3 linked regions of the Styela clava genome follow. The protein of the gene in region 2 purifies or fractionates together with the protein of the main gene of each other region. This does not show direct contact. Links are inferred from orthologs where the notes say so. Each region holds a gene or a part of one and is shown on either strand. Other genes may lie near its edges.

Region 1 (8,008 bases), on a different chromosome or scaffold from region 2:
CACGTTGGTCCTTTCGAAAAGAATGGTATTATTTTTTTAAACACTTGTTTATTTCGTACCAAAAGTGAACACAACATACCAATCTATGAAATAAAAAGTAATTCCAGGAAAGTAGAAATGCTATGCTTATAAGCGATGGGACTCTAGAAGCAATAGGTAATATATTATAAGTAATAATTAGCTAACCTGTGTTGTGGTCTCCGACATCCGTATACCAAGTTCCAATCAAGTCCGCATATTCAAGTCTTGCATGCGCAAGCAATGAACTTTTCAAATTTTCTTCCCAAACCCGAGGACCTCCAACCCTCATTCCATATGTTGATAGTTCAAAGCATCCTTGTTAAATAGATATATATTTATAAACACCAGCGACCATCTGTCAGTTGCAACTATGGTTACAAAATAATTCACCGCCCACCTGTGTCAGTCTTATCCATGTGTAAATCGCACCAATTAGCTTTCAAGACGATAGAATTAGTTTGATGAGCGACATATGGAAATGCTTTTTGAACAAATGATTCTTGCCACTCCTTGTCTTTCGCTAAAGCAGTTCTTACAGCGGTTCTGTGGGCAAAGTTTTCTGGAAAATTACATAAACTGAACTTAAGTAATGTAGCATTTTGATTTCATTCAGTTTTATTGCCTTCTTGATCAGCTTCATTTTTTGAGGTTAGATCAAAAATGAAGACAATCACAAAAAGTGACGTCAAATGGCACCTGTCAAAGCTAGGCCTATGTGGATTCCGGGCACTTCCTCGAAAAAAAGTGCTTTCCTCAATATTGCGATCATTAATGAGTACCTAATGCCTTTTAAAGTTTGTAAACATGTAGGCCCAAAGAATGAAGGCAAAAATTCAACGCTTATTCCTCATTTCTGCCCGATTTTTCGTCGAAATACTAAAAAAAGCACCCATGTTCGCTAAACTCGGTTTAGCAAATAAATAAAATGCAGCCCACGAAATTGCAGCAAGCAAGTAACTCTATTGTTACGTGACCTCAAGAGGCAGGTACTATCCAACATGAAGTAAACCACATAAAGCGGTAAAATGAATTTATTGATCATATACACACCATTTAAAATAGGGAACAGTAAAATATTTTTATAATAAATACAATATGTGAAATACTCAATGATATACCGTGTTTCCCTGAAAATAAGACCTAGTCTGACTTTTAAAAATGATTTTAATATAAGCCCACCCTTTAAAATAAGACCTAGTCAAATACTCAAAATTTTTTTTGACCTAGTCGATGGCAAGAAATCCCTCCAATACGTTTTAAATGATTAGTCTAAAACGGTTCCATTACATTTGAACCCACGTACATTTGAACCCATGACAATTGCACCTGTATGCTATTGCACCTATGGAATTTTTTTTGTTTTACGGATAGTTGAACCCATACTAACCCTAACCCATGGGTTTTAACACCCGCATATAGATTGAACCCGTGGATATGCACACGGGTTCAAATGTACGTGGGTTCAAATGTACGGTCACCGTCTAAAACGTGTGAGAGAGTAAAATTGTTAATGGATATCGGTTTTCATATTTTGTATATTCGAAAATCTCGTAATTTTTTACTTTGTAATTTTGTTTTGATAAATAAAAGACATCCCCCGAAAGTAAGCCCTAGTGTTATTTTTCGAAAGAAAATTGAAATAACCCCCAGTCCTATTTTCGGGGAAACACGGTATTAGTTAGATATGTTTAACAGAATTCCGTTAATTTTAGGGCGCGCTAAGCAAATCGCCGCGAAGTACTAGTACCCCCTATGAAAACCGCTGATATATGTACACAATAAACACAAGAAAAAGACGTACCATATTCCCAAATATGTATGACTTGATTCAAAGCCCCCAGGTCTGCAATCCAATACCCCCAAAAAGGAGAATGTTGGGTTCGGAGATGATAATTTTTCTCCAATAACTCTAAAAACTTTGGCATGCCATGTGGTGTTAATGAATACTTTCGAAGTTCATATATATTAGATTCTCCTGTATCTGTCGATACATATCGGCTGGATGATGCCGCAATGCCCTGCAAGCAACATTTAGATATCTCCTAATAACAAGCTAAAAATAACGAATCGAGGATTGAATCACAAGCACGTTCGTAATTTCAAGACTTCGGTAAATATATAAAAAAACAGTCACCTGGTGATTTGCAGCCTTCAGCAAAGCAAACTCGCTTAAAGGCTCGTAAACATTACTTGTGCGCGCGCACACAAGGGTCGACACAACACTATATATATATCGGCGAGTTTGAAAACTCCATCAAATGGTATGGCAATGACAAACACAACGTAAGGATAAATGTATAATGCACATGCCTTCCGAAAACACAGAACGACACCTAGTCGATCTAAAGTGCCCCGTTGTGTAACGGATCATTTTGTGCAAAATTCTGCTATTTTCTAACTTTTTTTTCCGGACACATCACATCTGTAAAACAAGTCTGAGCCGATTTGAAGTTACAAAAAAACTGATTGTTGTTCAGTTTGCTTGATATTGTTTTCCGCGACGCCTAAATTTACGTTAACTATTGAATTGAAATCGTAATTATGTGATATAATTTGAAATTCCGGCTTAACCATACAAAATAATATTTGCGTTATAACCAATTTATCACAATTGTACCTAGTGCATTTTTTAGTGATCTGGACCAAGGATTATTAAAGTTCTTATCCTTCTTAAATATCATCGGTCATTTGGAAATTTGGTTTTGAACGAGTTTCCTGTACTCTGAATAAGTTGAGCTAGCTTTGAGCAGATAATATAGTCATATAATTTATTATTACTCTGAAAAGAATAATTCTTCAATCCAAGATATCAACCTAAAATTAGAACCACTTCAAATAATCAATAAAAGTTACTTACATTAGAAAATATTCTCTTGATTGCACTTAATCTCAATGAAATATTCAACATGATTGAGTAATTTTAAAAACTAGTAAATATTCATAATCTCTGGTGTAAAAAATAATGAGAAAACAAAACATGAAATGTAGTTCATAGTTAAACTGCTTATAAGTCTTGATGAATTTAAAGTTCATAAATCTAATTTTGGATTGTTAAAGCTTGAAGTTGAGGGCTTTCCTATTTTTAAGCTAGTTGATATAAAATCCTACGATATATAAAATCCTTTTCTGATAACCAGTGTTTTGAGGGATTAGCCAAATCTCCTCATATTGGAGCCCTTTATATTACATAAAGTTTGGAATTGAAACCTAACCTCCAACGAATCAAAATTGGAATTTTCAAGCCAAACTTATAAAGGTGGGAAAATAGTAGTTGGGGTTACATAGTTTTCACCCTTAAATCTACAGCTGTAGTCAATTTCTATTGTAGTCGTATGAACTATTCTTTGACCCCATATCCCTGTTACAGATAAGCCATCTGGAATCATAAAACTACCTTATATGATTTTCATGAAGCACAATTTAAACATCAAAATGCCTGACTTCAATGAAATTTCCCAAATATGTGAGTTTTGAAAACTTAATAGTGGCAATTGCAATTTATGGTATAGAAACAGATGATTGAGCAAAAAAATGACATGTCAGATAAGAAAAAACAACAATAACTTCTGTAAATTTATTTATCTAAAAATGATCAACCTACAACCAAAATCTATCCCAACATCCATCAAACAATGACATTTTAAAAAGGTTTCAGTATACACATATCATTCATTATTTTGGATATTCTTTCCTAATAAATCAGTGGTCTCAACCTTTTACTGACCGTGTACCACTCAACTGTTTTTTGCCGCGTACAACTAAAAAAGCACCTTTTTGGCGTGGGGAACAATGGCACATGACACACGCTATGGGAGTATTCTATAATGTGGCACTTCATCCTTCGTGACTCAATTCGCAAGATGGACGAAACATGCCCATCTTGATTCATTCGGGGACAGTAGCAGACAAGGGCGATCTCTTAAAGACTAGACTGGTAAATAGGACGTTTCTCCAACCCTTGACCCCAGAAAAACTCTTACTATACTTTACTATTGCAAAAAATTTTAGAAAGTGTTTCGATGCGTTGGCGCTTATAAGGTGGTTTACATGTTTGAAGCCCTAATTTTTATTTAAATTAATCAACCATGTGGCACTGATAGCTTAGTTTAGACTGGTCTATCGCAGCATTTGCGAGACTCATTTTTGATTACAGCAACTAAATTAATGCTCCTTTGGAGACATAATGATATTTAATTTACAACTATTTTTTCAAAATAACTGAAAACTAACAAATAACTCGCAAAACTCTAAAAACGAGGCAATGTTTACTTTACAACCATACTTGAATATCTGTCTGAGCGACAGAAGTGTCTGAGCGGCTGCAGAAATTGCAATTGTTAAGTCATTGTTGACTTTTTGCTGATTGGTTATGGTTACAGAAATAAACAAGGAAATTGATGCCCGTGAAATATTCATAAAGGCCGTTCAGCGAATACATACAATATGAAATAGAAGCGTTGTCGGCATATTTTAGCCAACTCAAAAGTCAATTGTTGCAATAATTTACCGTAAATCTGGCCGCGTACCACAGGTTGAGAACCACTGTAATAAATGAATTAGTATCATATCAAAATTCATGGTATGTCAATATCGGTCAGTACTTTGTTTTAGAATATTGATGGTTCAACTTCATATTTAGAACATTGGTGATGTGATGCATTGGCCCTAAATGCACATCAAAACTCGTGTAGAAAAATAAAAGAGACTGACAAATATTAACATGCATTCAGATTCCAAATAATGATATGGGACTAGGTATTTTCTGGTTGGATGATAAAAGATACAAAACTGATATTTGGATCCAAGTCTACAACAGTTACACATCATTCCATTTGAACAAAATAAAACTAAAAGTAGGATAGGTACCACTGCTTAAAACCAATTTCGTTAAGAAGATGATTTCATAAAATCTAGAAGTATCATTTAGTAAAGGAGATTTTTTGATATTTTAACGAAGGAGTACTTTGATTTTTGTTTGTTTATATTTATTGAATCTTATTCAGCATTTGGAAATCGTACGACAATAAAATATATGGGCTGTTCAGTGAAAGCTGGTCTAATAATATTTTTTTCATAATTACACTATCCGGTAAGATTTTCTCTTCAGAATAAATGTTAATTTGCAAATCTTCATGCATTTTCAAAATTGGATTCAACTTTAGCCTTATCAGTTTTTTTAAGTAATAAATAGTCACTCTCGATGAACATCTCACATAATTTTTCAGAAAAGGCGTAAATGATATTCCTTTATAAAATGAATTGCTGCCATTATTAAATACCTCTGACAACATACCAGGATGCATAGTCAAAAAAATAATGAGTTTCTCATCATATTGAATTGTATGTGCAACATTATAGTTTGATATCTTATAAACGTCAATTGATGGCACTTCTGCATTACTGGTATCACGAATAAGTTTTTGTTGGGTATATTTTAGAGGGGTACCAATGTTTAACAAATGACTTCCACTCAAAGTGAAATCGATTCCTTTTGATCTGTAGAATGTTGCCTCTGCTTCTTGTTCATTTTTAAAAAGGTTTGGGACCAACTTATAAACGACATCTTGCATAACACGATCACTTCGTAGGTTGTTCAAAGGTTGTGTTTCATGGACTTCATCTCCACACTCTGGGCAAGATTTTTTAGTCTGAAAATGTTTGACAATGCAACCCTTGCAAAAAGTATGAGAGCATTCAGTAATTGTTGTTGCATCAATAAAATATCCAGCACATAATGCACACACAATGTGCGGATTAAGTTCCCGAATTTTAATGATTAGATCAGCCTCTCTGTATTGAGGTTCTGTCGACGGTTCAGTCATAGAGTCATCTTGCTGTTCCATTGAAACAGATTATGATGCTATTTATTACACTTAACTGTTGTGGAAAATAGAAAGGAATTGACGTTATGAGAAAAATACATAAATATGCCATAGGCTATGCTTTTTATTTGTATAAGTGGCTTATTTTGATCATGTTGTATGAATACAAATACAGTCTACAGACGAAATTGGGTAACGTTAGAGAAGTTAGACTGTTGACTTATAGGACTGTGTTCGTTTAATTTTTTGAACTTTATTGGTATTAAATGTTTTGAATGAGCACCTTCAAATATATTAAAACCTTCAGACTTCACAGTAACACTTAAATATTAATGAATGTGAGCTCAGTAGTCTATGGTTGCAGTAGTCTAAACTCGCCGACGGCAGTCGCCCGACAGGCCGTCAACTCACCAGTCGAGCAAACGCTCTGCGACGTGACGTCATCGATGCTCGAGGTGAAGACAACTCGACTACCGAGCAACGAGAGGCAGACAACTCATCAGTCGAGCAATCGCTCTTATCTGCGATATCGATGCTCGAGGAGAAGACATTGCTTTGCAAAACGCAGACTCAAGAGTTGCATAGCATTTACTTAGTGCCGACTGATATTAGTTGTGAGCCAACTCACCACGGCAAGGTTTCAGTCATAGAGTTGGAATTTCTTTTTGCAGAAGAAAACCAGGAACAGATAGGCACTGTCGCTGCGCCTGGCAAAGAAACTGGGCCGAAGTATGGATAATCAATCAATCAATCATCATTTATTCATCAACACAATTTAAACATGGTATGATATATGAAAAAATATTACAAATACAAGTGGAAAATAACTTAAATTGTGTGACAGGAGTCGCGAGGGACCTCAAGAGGTCTTCAGGCAGCGACACCTAAAATGATGTTTACTTTTTGTTACGATTAATGAATTTAATATGATATTTGAATACTAAACGTTATGGGGAAATTTAACCTTTTCCATGCGATTTTTATTAAATAATCATATTTGCTACGCCGATTTTATGCATTTGTACCCCCACAACTATTCGATCGACTAACGAAAAAAAACTAATCCTCTGCTGCCCACTGACGGCTCGTTGGGAAGCTTATTTAAAGTTTTTTTAAAAGTGGTGGTCTGAGTCACAAACCGGATAGAAAAAAGACATTTTTTTTCTTGGGAGTTGAAACTTCAAACCGTGATAAAAAATAGAAATATTCGCTAAATCCTTTACTGCTACCGCTTCGTGGTTGGCAAACAATAGCATAATATTGCTGTAGCAATTTCGTGATCTAACTTAAAATACTTTGGTAGGGTTAATGGATGGAAGGTTTTGTTTTCTTTTTCGTTACGAATAATGAATTTTATTTGAATACTAAACGTTTTGGGAAATTTGCTGCGTTACATACTTACTCTTTGCAATACTGCGGCCCTCTCGTTGGCTTCCGCATACCTGCCGTTGACACGCCCCACAACATTCTCTTCCAAAATCTCCACAACGTCCACCTCTATCCCTATACTTACCTCGTACATTGTTGAGATTAAACTGTAAAAAGGCATATTTTTCCGAGTTATACTGTTAAAATGGCGGTGCCAACCTTCCAGATGATTGTTGGTTCTTATTTCTACGTCGAATACTGACCAATCATTGGGAGTCCAGACACTGTTGTATAGCTTGTGTTTTGAAAATATTCGGCGAAGTTCTTGAGTTTGCTTCTTTTCTTTCAGTGATTTGAATCTGGACGTAATAAACATAGGTGGTATATAGCACAGCGTCATGACATGCTTGATCAGGTCTCTTGTTCCAGCCTCCCTAAAACAAAATAAAAACATGTTAATACAAAAGAAGTGAAAGATGTACAAAGACATATATACATATGGTTAACCACTCACTTGTTGTATAGGCGAGCCAAATTATTGTGACGCACATTCTTCATGATGGCCTGAGTGAAGTGATATCCATGCACGGAGATTAGATAAGGTGCCAGATAGGTGATAATGAAGCCGCGCGCCTAAATTACTGCTCAGTTATCGCCGAGTTCAAAGCCTCATTATCGCCGGCCTGACACCTTACAAACGTAAATACTCATTAGCCGAAGTCGTTTTCATTACAGTTTTATACTGAAACGAGAACGACTAACGGTATATTAACTCCACAAAAACTACGCAAGAATTC
Region 2 (7,031 bases):
CCGTCTGCTTTCAGTGCCTAGTTTTCGTTTTGTGACATCTTTAAGCTTTCTAAATATACGGCTGATATCTAAAATACTGCAGTGTAATGCTAATACCCATACGTATACATAAGATATCGGATAATTCAATTGTTACGAAATAAACGTGCTTAAACTGTGATAATGATGTAACAATAGACGATATCTAAAACTCAAAAGGTACCACATGAAGGGTTAAACTATTTCACTTAAGTTCGGCGGGCCATTTTAAATCGTTACGCGGGCCCTAATTGGCCCGCAGACTGCGGTTTAGAACCCCTCAGTGTGGAATTGCATCTCAAAATTAGGGGGGGTGTTTGAAATTTTAGGGGGGGTGTTCACCCCCTATAGGGGGGGTGTAGGGAAATCACTGATTCCATGCTTCCGAAAACAAATACCTGGCTAACTTATCCCATAGGCCATACCCGACTTGGACTGGTAACCGGACGAGAGGCTGTGGTTCGCCATATAATTAAGCCGTTTAGTGGCTTCCCTCTCACCCGGGATAAATATGTATATCCTATCCTATCACTGAATTGATTCTGTTCTTGTGTAAAGCTTGAGTTGATGTCATTCACGAACACCATCAAGTCCATGCTTCCGAAAACAAATAACTGGCTAACTAATCCCATACCCGACTTGGACTGGTAACCGGACAAGAGGCAGTGGTTCGCCATATGATTAAGCCGTTCATCACTTTCCTCTCTCCCGGGATAAATATGTATATCCTATCCTATCACTGAATTGATTCTGTGCTTGTGTAAAGCTTGTGTTGACGCCATTCACGAACGCTTTGCAAAGATTCATTTGGTTGAGAAAATTGAAGCGATATTATGCGCACGCATAGCGATATGTCAGTATGTGGTAATTTAAATTTGCGTTTTTTCATGGCAATGTATGCGTTTTTCATTTGTAAAAATCACCATCATTTCAGTTTTTTTCAACACGGCTAGACACGACTCATGTCACATGACGTCAAAATGAATAAATAGTAAACGATTTTCTGCGACTGATATTGTCTGTCCTTGTTCTGCTGTTCCTTGTTCTTCAGTTCTTCGCCGTTAACAAGCGACTGGCAGACTGGTAGGATTGTCTGTTGCGAGTAAGGTCAAATATCTAGTGTAGCGGGAACGAGGATATGAGTCTTTAGGTCAGTAATATTACGTGAATGGATTATGAATTTAATGGAATATGGACTTATTTTAATTTGTACATTTATTCATTTTTTGCATATTTATTAAAATCACTCATTGGGTGAGCCAATCGAAAAAAATATATTACGTGAATCGGCCGAACTCTGTACGTCAGTATTTTTGTCTTTGAGCTGTACGATACCGGTACTAACAATTCAGCAATTACTGAATTATAGAGGCGCAGTTCTTACCACTTCATGGCAGCTCCTGCCACGAACGTACCACGCCGTCTCCTGCCATGGTTTTATGGCGCTATTACCGGTATATTTACAAATTCATGTACCATATTTAAGTTTATCATGCGAAATTATATCTACTTAAACCCTAACCCTAACCCCAAATCCATCCAAACTGTATCCATAAGAAAAACATTCCAACTCACCAAATATTTATCACCATCAGCAGATTAGGGGCAGCCCTGCTATTACAGCCGACCTGCCGTGGTTACGGCAGTAAAATTGGTGGTATTCGATTTGCTGCCGTAACCACGGCAGCTCGCTATTGCAGTATTGGTTTGTGGCAGCTAAAAAGTCAGTCGCCGTGGGTTTGGTCTTAGTGGCCGTGGTTTGGAAATCCCGCCATGGTTTTGCGGCAGCTGTAGACGCCACAAAATACTTGAAACTGCACTTGGAATTATACGCTCAAACATGTCACAATGTCAGAATGTAGATGACCGTACCGTCAGGTCAGGCGTCAGACGGTACCGGTACTGAATTACAGAATTAAGTCTACCAGGAAGCCATGGGTGCAAGCAGAGATGTCAGGATGTGAGTTAGGCCCGTGATTCTTTAATTCTATGGTGAATTAACGCTTCGAACTACATTCTGATATTTGGCATTTCAACCTTCTGTCACTCAGAAAATTCAAGTTACAATTTACTACCTTACGGTACACAGTTATCACTCGTTTATTCATATATCTGTATATTTTTATATTCCATATACAGGCTATCCCTTGTTAATAACAAAATTTGGTAACTCGTGATATGGGAAATTTATTTGCAGAGAAGTGCTTTTTTTCGTCTTGGTCAACTCTAGTAACTATTTTTAATTTTGAATAGCAATTATGCCATATTATGATTAGCACACAACTCATTCTGACATTACGGTAATTGTTTCACATCTCGACAATATTTTATATAAAAGCTATGGACCACTAAGCACGCTTCACACTTAAAATCAGTGTGTATCATCACCTAACTCTGTAACTGCCTAATGCATTAATGCAGGTTATTTTGCAAGTAGCTTAGTTAACTATTATTAACTTCAATATGTCTATCTACCATTGCCTTCTGATGTATTTAACATCAGTTTATTTAGAGATGGTTACTCTCAAAAACATTCACTTTTTGTGGATGAGAATTCAATTCAATAATGACTGAATGAGGACCTCTGAATTTTTAATGAAACAGTAATCTTCCTGCCAGATGAAATGCTGTTTTTCGGAGACTTTTTCGTAAATGATCGAATCTTTTTTTTGGTTTCTTGGTGTTAGCCAATAGCAATCCAATGAATGAAAAAAACAAATTGAGAATTGTACATAAATTTACACAGACAATCCTGAACAAAGCTGACAGATTACTTATTAGAATTTGGGGGGATTGAGATTACATTACTGGATTAAACTATTTTTCTCCAATCAATTAATCTATTATTTGCTATTCTGTTTGTCAACAGCAGTACTGGCATATTTTTTTTTGTTCTCACCCTATTATGATAACTATGGTTATAGAAAATTGATTACCTATTATTCAGTTTTATCAAGAGAAGGACAGAGAAGTGTAAGACAAAGTTTGGAAATTTCAATATCCCAATATACCCAAATGCTTAAAATTATGATTTCAACTACAACGCTTGGGCTGGCCCAAGATTTCTCCAAAAAGTTGAAACTTTAAATTGAATATAATAACAGAACTAATTTTATAATATACTTCATTTAAATATTTGAAAAATTGTTCTGAACTCGTAAAGTTTTAAAATAGATATTAAAATATGGTATACCGGTAATGACTTTTTTTTTCTTGTTTCTCACAAATATTTTTTGCCTTTGCGTTGTGACAAAATTGTCATTCAGTACCAAGATGAAAGATATGCATTACGGATTTCACTTCTGACTTGCTGTATTTATGACCACTTTCACTTGAACAGCTTAGAGTCTTGTTTTATTAACCCCGGTCAATTGCATTGATGGTCATAATTAATAGCCTATAATATGAATCCTGATTCTAAAATTATTGTTAACAAGAACTTCATTCCAAAAAGTATTTTCTAGCGAATTAGTCGCTTTTCTAGGCCCAAATTTTTGACCTGATTTTGGGGGGATCATCTTATTAGACGTGTATGGAAACTTATTTTCCTTTTTTGGTTTCGCTTTATTATTCAATTCGGACCATAAAATACCTTCGGCGATAGCATCCCCTGACGCGACCATGATATATGTTTAATATCGTAATTACGGTAATGTAAAGTATATTTAATTCATTTTTTTTTACATCAATTTTACTCGGTGGGATATCATTGCTGACTTAAGGTTTTTTCCTACCGTGCAATCCTCGAAATAATGAGTGGCAGCATTGCGATAAAGCGAAATTGTTGCAGCAACAACTCAGATATTTTTTTAAATTGCAAAAATACGAATCAAAACAACATATAATTGTACATGTTTATGTCCACGGATTGCGTTGGTAATTTGTAGCAGTGATACTATTTATATTGTCCCAATCGCGGATTAAATTGATCACAATTAAATCGATCACAATTCACAATTAAATCAATGAAGAAACACATTTCGTTTTGTGGAGATTTTCAGGTGATGAACATGTATGTTTCATATATACACTTTATATGTACCGGTATATTTATTTATAAAATCTAAATATAATCAGGTAGTTTATCTCACATTATTATGTCCACAGATTGCCGTGTTAGGCAATGTTCCTATAAGTTGAACACAATTAGATAGAAATTGAAAGAATGTTTGAATTCCTGTAGTTGTTATGGATTGAATATTACGAAAAAAACATAATCGGCTATTTTAACCAATGCGCAAACGCGGCGGCCGCTCAAAAGCCTTTGCATGCAAAGCATGGTAATTTGAGATTCCGATGTTGATGCGATTTTACTACCCGTCTTATTTGCAAGTTATATGCAAAAACCCATTTTTCCAGGCGTAAAAACGGGGCTCGTCTTATTCACCAGGTAGACTTATTCACCGGGAAATACGGTATATCTGGGTGAGAAGTAATTAATATTACTGCAATGCAAAAAAAAATCCAGGTGTATCTAAAGATGTGCCATTGAATAAAGCATGTTCTAGTAGAATAGTTGAAGTCCATGATAGGAGGGAACATATTTAACAAGCTAAGAATGTTCAGAGTAAAATTTCCTATTTATGTATTTAATTAAATGGTCCATATAAGATTTACATAAAAAAACAGATTTAATGGAAAATGATTACATCAAGAGTTGGTAACTAACTCAATTTCATATTATTTTGGTACTGGTATACATGGGTCTGATCGAACATATTATGCATATTTTTGTTTTGCTATTATTTGGGTTGTAAAAGATTAAGTTGTAGTCGTATCCAATCTTTTGTATACAGAAATATACTATTTTTTGTCATAGATAACCATTCCATGTCAAGTTTTCTATCATATATTTCAAAACCATATTACTCATTAAAATATTATTTAGATTTAATTTTTTGAGTTATATTTCCAGATCATTTCATACAGTATAATAGTTACTGAACGAACTAACTTTTGGAAACACATTATGTCACGTCATGAAGGTATGTTATTATGAAAATATGCTAATCATATTTTATATATGTAATAGGTCATTCCAGCTCACTACAGTTATACATGACTCATTATAATTACTGTGGATTGTAGACAATCATCAGAAAATTTTCCCACTTAAACATTTACATTCCTTTTTTAATTGGACCAGCAAACTGTGTGTTTGGGATAGTGTGATAGGTCAGTAGTAATAGGCGTCAAATTATTTGTTTCACATTTTTCTGATTGGCAAATTTTGTGATAACAAATATACATATAATCAATTGCACATAGGTTCCTCGAATCTCATTGGGGTTCCGCCCCACGAAAAAGGTGAAAACCCTGTTATATACTTCGGGTGTAATTGTAATGGAAGGTAGCAGACTATTCCTATTTAAGGCTCATTGTACTTCTGCCAGTTTAGCAATATATAACCATAAAATTGTCCAAAGCCTAGATATATATATATATTGTAGCCTATTATATATTATTTTAGGAGTCAGCTGTGATAATTGCTTAATGAGCAATTTTCGACAAAAGCGTTTCAAATGTTTAATTTGCTACGATTACGATCTCTGTGAGATTTGCTACGATAACAATGTCAGTACATCACGTCACTCTCCTTCTCATCCAATGCAATGTATTTTAACAAAGCACGCCTTTGGTAAGTTTCATTTCTTAAAATAATATACTTAATTGGAAACCAAAAATCAGGCTTCAAAATTTATATAGGCTAATGCTGTAATTGTAATGTTGATGAAATTTTATCATTTTTTACCAAATTTGGCAATGTTTATACACAAATTTTATGTTGTATAGATAAATTTTATGTTGGATACCCATGTAACAAAGTCATTTTCTTCATGTGTATTGATATAAGATAATTGAAATCAAATCATTTATATTGCAAAGCATTTTCACCAAGCTTTCTGATAGCAATGCCTTTATTATCGTATCAATATTCGTTATGTATTTGTATTTTGGCTATGACCAAATAAATGATATATTTCTGATACTGTGAATATTACATTTGAGCTATCGTTTCTTATTCAATTTTTTTTTTATCTCCTTTCTTTTTGTGATCCAGATCTTTTCTATGGAGGTGAAGGTATAGGAATGGACAGTCCACCATCACTGACTTGCCCACTTTGTGGAAAGAAAGGTTTCACAGAAGTTAATTTACAAGAACATGTTAATTCTCAACATCTTGAAACTAGTGTAGAAGTGGTAAGTTCTAGAAATAAAATTTTGGAGGAGGCGTTTAAACTAATTCTCGTTCTGAAATACTGTATTTAGCAATTCTGCAACTAATCCAAAACCACTTTTAGCACTAAAATTTAGGTTTTTCCATATTACTGCCCAATAAGCAGAGGCTGAAAAATTGTGTTATTTTTTTCTGTTCTTCAGTTATGCACCAAAGCAAAGCACCTTGTTTTCCTAACTTACTACACATGATGGTACCGGTAACTGCATTTGCTCGTGATGCTCGCACAAATGCGGCAACATCATTTATAATATTCGCAGCAGACATTCCAGATTCACAATGTGAGAATGCTGATTCATGTAACAAGGCACTTTTTGCCCCACTTGACCGAAGTGAATACACGTTATTTTTCCCCTTTTCTGGTACAAAGCTGATAATATTGCTAAACTTTCAGGTCTGCCCAATATGTGCTGCAATACCAACTGGAGATCCAAATCATGTAACTGATGACTTTGCCACCCATCTTGCCATTGAACACAACACATCACATCGTACTGCGACCATTGAGGACCCAATAGGAGGTCGGCAAAGCATGAGACGTGAGAGTTTATTTGATGAAACATAACATAGTTTTTAATACACTACTAATATACACTTTGATGTATAGTATGGATAGGTTTTCAGAATGAATTTGGATCTTTGAATAGAAATAATTGATGAGTCAATTAATGGTGTCGTGATATGTAAAATGGAGTGAACCTGTGTGTTTATTAGTCTGTCAGATATCAGTTGCAATGCTCAAAATTAACTCTTAAATACTCCTACTCTACTATTA
Region 3 (6,216 bases), on a different chromosome or scaffold from region 2:
TAGACTTTCAATATTTTTTTCAATTTCAAATTTTGTAATTGCTAAAGAAATTACTAATTGCTATTCCCGGAGTGAATTTTTTTCTTGATGTTTTTTTTTAAAGAATTAATTCCACGTCCACATTATTATATAGATAAGAGTATATAATAATCTTTAGTAAAAACTATCCTTTCAGTCGTGTGATTTATTCTGATACGTCTTTTAAAATATTTTGTTTAAACGTATTCAAGATTTAAAAAAAAGAACAACAAATAACGTTCCTGCTAGGAGAGATTTTCCTTCAGATATGAATGCTTTGGCTGAAATAAAGTAAGCAACCTGTTCTTATTTTAAATAAATCAGTTTTCATAAATAGCAGGATTAAATTGTTTACTTCACGTAACTTTGTCTGTGTAAACACTTATAGAACACAGGCGATATACGCTAGTGTGTGGTCAGCGCGTTTGCTTTGTCACGGTCCACCAAACGTATGAAGTAAGTCAGTTCATCACCTTTTGAATAGGGGTTCACGCAAGACAAGCGCTGATCTTACACAGAGAGATCCGACGCATTCTCAATTATTTTGAACAAGAATAATAATTTGTGATGTGAAAATTCTGTTGGGTATATTCAGTATTAAATTGAATGCAAAATATTTGGTTTTGGACTTCCTCCAGCCAAAGTTTTTATACAACGGACAGCGTGAAATGAATCGTGATTACGCCTTCGGGACAGTGCGTGAGTATTATCGTCCACGCTTTAGGATCAGGGAAGTCGAGTTAGGAAAAGCGTATTAGGAAAATTGATGTCACATAACTAGGGCTGGGAATTTCAGGGAAAACACTTTAACAGCGTGACGTTTGACGTAATAATTTATAATTTTAGCTTGTTACGTCTCAATGATTACAAAGCAATTTAGGGTGATCTTATCCCGCTATCGCTCAAAATTATTCGCTCTGCTAGAAGAAATATGCAGCGTGATTCGTACATGTGAAAGTATTGTAATAAAACCTGAATCCGTTATTGTATGTCATTTATGTGACAAACTTTCAGTGTTCGACTTGCAAATTCTACGCTGGGATATATATCATAAAGAAAAACAGTATCAACTGCGCACTTGTTGGATGACATTGAATATACGATTTTGCAATAAAATTGTGAACAAAATATTTTTACCGAAAACTGAATTTATCATTGTCAAATTTTCATAATCAGCATCTTGGTACTTCAATTATTGTTCACATTTATTGGGAATTAAATGCCACAGGAGATGAATTTGCGATGACGTAATCATTTTTGAAAAAATTGTACATTATAAAGATGATTTATACCTAAGATGTCAGTTAACGGTTAAAATAAATCGTAACCGTTAACCATCTAAAATCGGTTAACCGATTAACGGGTTAACTATCCCCAGCCCTACACATAACATATTTCATTTTTGAACTTCGTCATGGTCCAAAAAATGACAACATAAGTTTAGCTTATTTAACTCGAATCATTGCGGATAGCAACATCACATTACCTTGCAAAGGCTAAGCTTGCTTTTTTACCTTCCAAGCAATACATTTTAGCTTTAACCAATTTTTGTTCAAATGTTATAATCATTCATTCATCATTGTACTGTGTAGGCAAAACAAACAATGACAACCATTGTCGGGCATGCATACTGGCCAAACAATTCAATGCTAACCAATCGAGCAATTGCTACCTGAAGAATTCAATAAACTAAATTTTCAGTCGTTTTGTAAATTCAGATTTGTTGATTTGTCAGATATGGTGATGACCATTTTAAAATTTATATAATTATTCGCGAGCACGACAACCAAATTACAACTACGGCTACATAGCGCCTCGAGTGGTGCATACATTCGATAATAGTATGTATTCAGAAGTCCACAGAAATGTAGGGCCACAACTGATACTTTCCCGAGTCTTTACTCCAAACAAAATTTTTCCACGCTACTCCATTGCAAAGTTTTTATTGCTTATTTCAGGGGTATATTTGCGAGGCGCGTGCTGAAAGTTTATTTTCGAAGCTTAGTACCGTGTTTCCCAGAAAATAAGACCTAGCCCAAATTTAAAAAATTATTTCAATACAAGCCCTCTTCTTAAAATAAGACCTAGTCAATACCGCGAACTTTTTTTACTTAGTCGATAACAAGAAATCTCTCCTACACGTTTTAAATGATTGATAATCTATGTTTTGCAGTTATTTTGACTAAAAATGTGCCATGGGTATCGCTTTTCATATTTTGTATGATTGAAAATCTCGTAATTCTCTAATTTATAATTTTGTTTTTGATAAATGAAAATAAGAGACATCCCCGAAAATAAGCCCTAGTGTTGTTTTTCAGAAGAAAATTGAAATAAGAACCAGTCTTATTTTCGGGGCCGTTTTCAATAATTGGAACTAAACTAGAAGACTTCCGAGAAAGAAATGACTCCTGAAATAAACCTAAACTTTGAAAATATAACGAAAAACAAACATTTAAAATAACAAAATGAGTAAATGTTTATAAGGTAGCTTAAAAAACCTGGGTAAAAGGTGTCCGATCGATTGCTTCAAATTTCAATTATTACGCAACAGTTCTTTCTGATATTTACCATCAAATAACATTATTTTTCCTAAAATTTGTTTGATCTCCATGCTTGCGAGTCATATCCTGTGGTGGAATAAAAATAAAAAAACGGTTCTCTTTTTGTATCGATTCCACAAACAACATGTCGCCTACGTAGTCAAAAGTTTACAGTGATACTCGATTTTGAATACCTGTCAAAAATAAAAAACCTAGATAAAAGTATAATGCACTGAATATATTTGCTGACCGTAATGAGACACTCACTGAGCGCACGAGACTCTCGGCCTAATGGGACATGCGCAGATCATTTTTGTCAAGCACCGATACCGATATTTGAAATTCTCGATATTCTAATAATATGTAATCAATATCAATGTATATACGATGTTTTTTAATTACACGCTACCAAAGAGTATTTACAGAGAACATTATTTCGATCAGATATCCCAAACACGAGAACGCACAACTTTAAATCTGCATTTGTGATTAAAATTCATAAATGATGTGTCACTATAAACTCACTACGTTAGTATATTTGTCACCTATCCTGGCTCACATCCCTCATAACCAATATATTTCAATACCTACCTCAGTATCAATACCCTAATTTCATTCTATTTTACTTAAACTGTAATCAGTAGCATTTAATAATTGATGTTATCTACTAGACTACAATTTGGTAATATTTTGGCTCTTCATTGGGGAATGAAGCGGTTTAGCCTACCTCTTCATGCACCCAACTATAATACCCTTAACGAAATATTTTTTTATGTCTTATATTAGATACTGTTCACCCTTATTTACAAAATCTGTATTCAATTTGGAAACTTTCATAAAATTATCAAAATGGTCAAGCTTATTTTTTATTTTAATTCTTATTTTTTATTTTAATTCTTTTTATTTTTTGTGTACAATATAATTTATCTAAAGCTTCTCTATTTTTTCTAACTTTGTTATATCCCTGTGGTTGTGAGTGTGTGTGAACACGTACCACTTCTTTTTGACAAAAACCTTCCATCTTATATTCTGTACGTTTTAAACCTCATCCAAGGTTTCGTTTTCTCTTCTGCTTTCATAATCAGTTTTTATTTTATTTGTTTTTATCAATCATTAAATCTCCTTTTATGCTGATTATGGAATCGAAATAAACTTATCTTATCTTACTTATTTGATTGATACGCAAATTATAGCAGACGTTAGGTTTTGCCTTGGCGCTAGTAATTGGTGCACAACTAGAAAACTCATAGTAAGCCGATTACTATACATGGAAAAATACATATACTGTATTTAATATATTCATTTATTTTAAGGACACACTATACAAACTGTGGAGAGCCTTTAAATCCTTCCACGGCAAAAAATAATTCCAGTCGCAGATACCCGTATTCTAGATAAGATCAGAGAGATGTTTACTTCGGAAATATTCGATAAATTCTAGACTAGATACCACACCGGGTTTCCCCGAAAATAAGAAAGTGTCTTATTTTAAATTTATTTTCAAGAATAACACACATTGACCCCATTCTGCCCCTTTGTTACCCTATTTCGCCTTTGGACACTCATAGAATATTATAGGGGTGTCTGATTACGAATTTTGAAATTTTGTTAGAAGTTAGATATTGCACTAGCCACTAGCATATTAGCGTAATAGATGGAAGTCCGACGACTGATTGCTATAATTACCAAGTCAGTACTTAGGACAAGCTATAGGAAAGTCTCGTCATCCAGTAAAAAATGTGCAGCAATACCAACAATTCAAGAGATTAGGACACAGTTGCAGCAAACGCTCGGCGCAAGCTCAGCATGGATTAAAAGTGAAGAATATAGGGAAAAACTTGCAGCTTCTCTGCCACAGACTCAGAGTGATTTGATGCCCCGTCGGATGCAAGATAGCTATTATGAAGCTATTGTACCCTTGTCAGATCCTGTCATACGGGAAAAATACAAAGGATTATATGATAATGTAAGACTTGGACAGTTGTTGGAAAATTTGGATACGTTTGCAGTACACATCAGTTATCTACATAATAATCCTTACTCATCAAAGACAGGGGAAAGTCCTTTGTCAATTGTTACAGCAATGGTTGATGAAATAAAAATTCACAATCATTGCTTGGAATCTCAGGCAGATATATTACTTAAAGGTCATGTGACATGGACAGGGAAAAGCTCCATGGAAATCAAGATGTGGTTGACTCAATTGGCAAAACCTATCATTGATGCAACATTCGTTATGGTAGCACGAGATCCGTTAAATCGTTCTGCGATAGTTTACCCTCTGTTAATGGAAGATCCCAAAGACAAAGCTTTATTTCAGGAAGGGGAAAAACATAAAATTGAACGGTTGGAAGAGGCGAAGTATTCACTTTTGAAATATCCCCCAAAAGAAGAAGAAAGACAAGTTGTACATGACTTATTTTTACAAACATTAGACACAAAGACTATGTCTTTTCGAGGAAGACAGCTGCCAGAAGATTGTGTGTGGATGGAAGATACAAAACTGAAAAATTCAATTATTTGTTTTCCTGAAAAGCGCAACATTCACAATAAAATTTTTGGTGGTTTCCTTATGCGCACAGGTTTCGAACTTGCATGGGCGAATGCTTGTATATTTTCTAAAACAAGACCTCATGTCACAGCTGTGGATGATATTTTATTTCGTTGCCCGGTGCAAATTGGATCACTTTTGCTTATATCATCCCAAGTATGCTTTTCTCAGGGTAAGGATTTTCACATCCGAGCACATGCTGAAGTTATGGACCCACATACAGGTGTCAGTACTACTTGCAACACTTTTAACTTTTCTTTTACATGTGATAATGAAAACCTTCCCACAGTTATGCCAAGAACATATGGTGAATCCATGCTATATTTGGATGGAAGAAGGCATTACAATACCCTCAAAGGTATATCTGGCGTCTGATAAAATTATTTTCTCCAATGTAAGAAATGGTATGGCAGAATTCCTTTTCACAACCTGCAATATATTTTTTTGCTAGGTAATTTCCAGGCTGTTCTTGTTTTTCTAACTTTCATTCCATGTATCTTCTATTGTGATATCTTTAACACTTCTATTCAAGACTGATAACAATACACACAAATTAGCATTGAGTTGTTTTTCTTCTATCACCAGAGTAGAAAAAAGCACAGACAATGAGACAAATTGGTCAATCAAAGTTTATTGCATATTTTCAAAATGATCAAGATTGTTTGATTGTATAAAATAGAGATTGCACAGAGAATATAAGTAAGAATATATACAAATTATGCATCACTGCATGGCAAGGTTTACATATGCATAGGTCAAATTTTACTATAAAATGTAGTTTCTATGCTGAATCAACAATTTTTTTTAGAATCCGATGGTCTTACTCGGCGGCTCCTCCAAGCCTGAGAGGAAATACACAAACATTACTTTGTAGTCGGTGTAGCTTGTTTAATATTTTATGATTATGCTAAAAATAATTTGAATTAATCAAATTGTTGCTTGTTGGAGACAATGAAATGAAAAACAAATAAAACTGTGGACAATAAGCTTCAGGTTACTGGGTTCATTATCGAGCAGTGCAAATATCTTAAATTCTAGTAACATGATTGACTATTTCGAAGATGCATATTGCTAATATAAGCAAACTGTTGTCGGCATTGATTAAGT

Evidence for each region.
Region 1: the proteins of E3 ubiquitin-protein ligase KCMF1-like (region 2) and protein NipSnap homolog 3A-like purify together in Homo sapiens (affinity purification with mass spectrometry; 4 studies listed by BioGRID and IntAct, counting the BioPlex papers as one, with this or other methods). This does not show direct contact. The link is inferred for Styela clava from reciprocal best matches to the Homo sapiens genes KCMF1 and NIPSNAP3A.
Region 3: the proteins of E3 ubiquitin-protein ligase KCMF1-like (region 2) and acyl-coenzyme A thioesterase 9, mitochondrial-like purify together in Homo sapiens (affinity purification with mass spectrometry; 3 studies listed by BioGRID and IntAct, with this or other methods). This does not show direct contact. The link is inferred for Styela clava from reciprocal best matches to the Homo sapiens genes KCMF1 and ACOT9.

What each region holds. Positions count from the first base shown.
Region 1 is NC_135263.1:19,597,388-19,605,395, reverse strand, and holds the start of protein NipSnap homolog 3A-like, read right to left. Parts: upstream 3,070-8,008; 5' UTR 2,930-3,069; coding exon 2,879-2,929; intron 2,040-2,878; coding exon 1,823-2,039; intron 581-1,822; coding exon 419-580; intron 337-418; coding exon 187-336; intron 1-186.
Region 2 is NC_135258.1:14,976,172-14,983,202, forward strand, and holds the start of E3 ubiquitin-protein ligase KCMF1-like, read left to right. Parts: upstream 1-3,968; 5' UTR 3,969-3,983; coding exon 3,984-4,019; intron 4,020-4,933; coding exon 4,934-5,003; intron 5,004-5,488; coding exon 5,489-5,656; intron 5,657-6,079; coding exon 6,080-6,219; intron 6,220-6,650; coding exon 6,651-6,795; intron 6,796-7,031. UniProt on the Homo sapiens protein: E3 ubiquitin-protein ligase which accepts ubiquitin from an E2 ubiquitin-conjugating enzyme and then transfers it to targeted substrates, promoting their degradation by the proteasome.
Region 3 is NC_135263.1:10,833,318-10,839,533, reverse strand, and holds acyl-coenzyme A thioesterase 9, mitochondrial-like, read left to right. Parts: upstream 1-4,086; 5' UTR 4,087-4,212; coding exon 4,213-5,484; 3' UTR 5,485-5,672; downstream 5,673-6,216. UniProt on the Homo sapiens protein: Mitochondrial acyl-CoA thioesterase. Catalyzes the hydrolysis of acyl-CoAs into free fatty acids and coenzyme A (CoA), regulating their respective intracellular levels. Regulates both mitochondrial lipid and amino acid metabolism.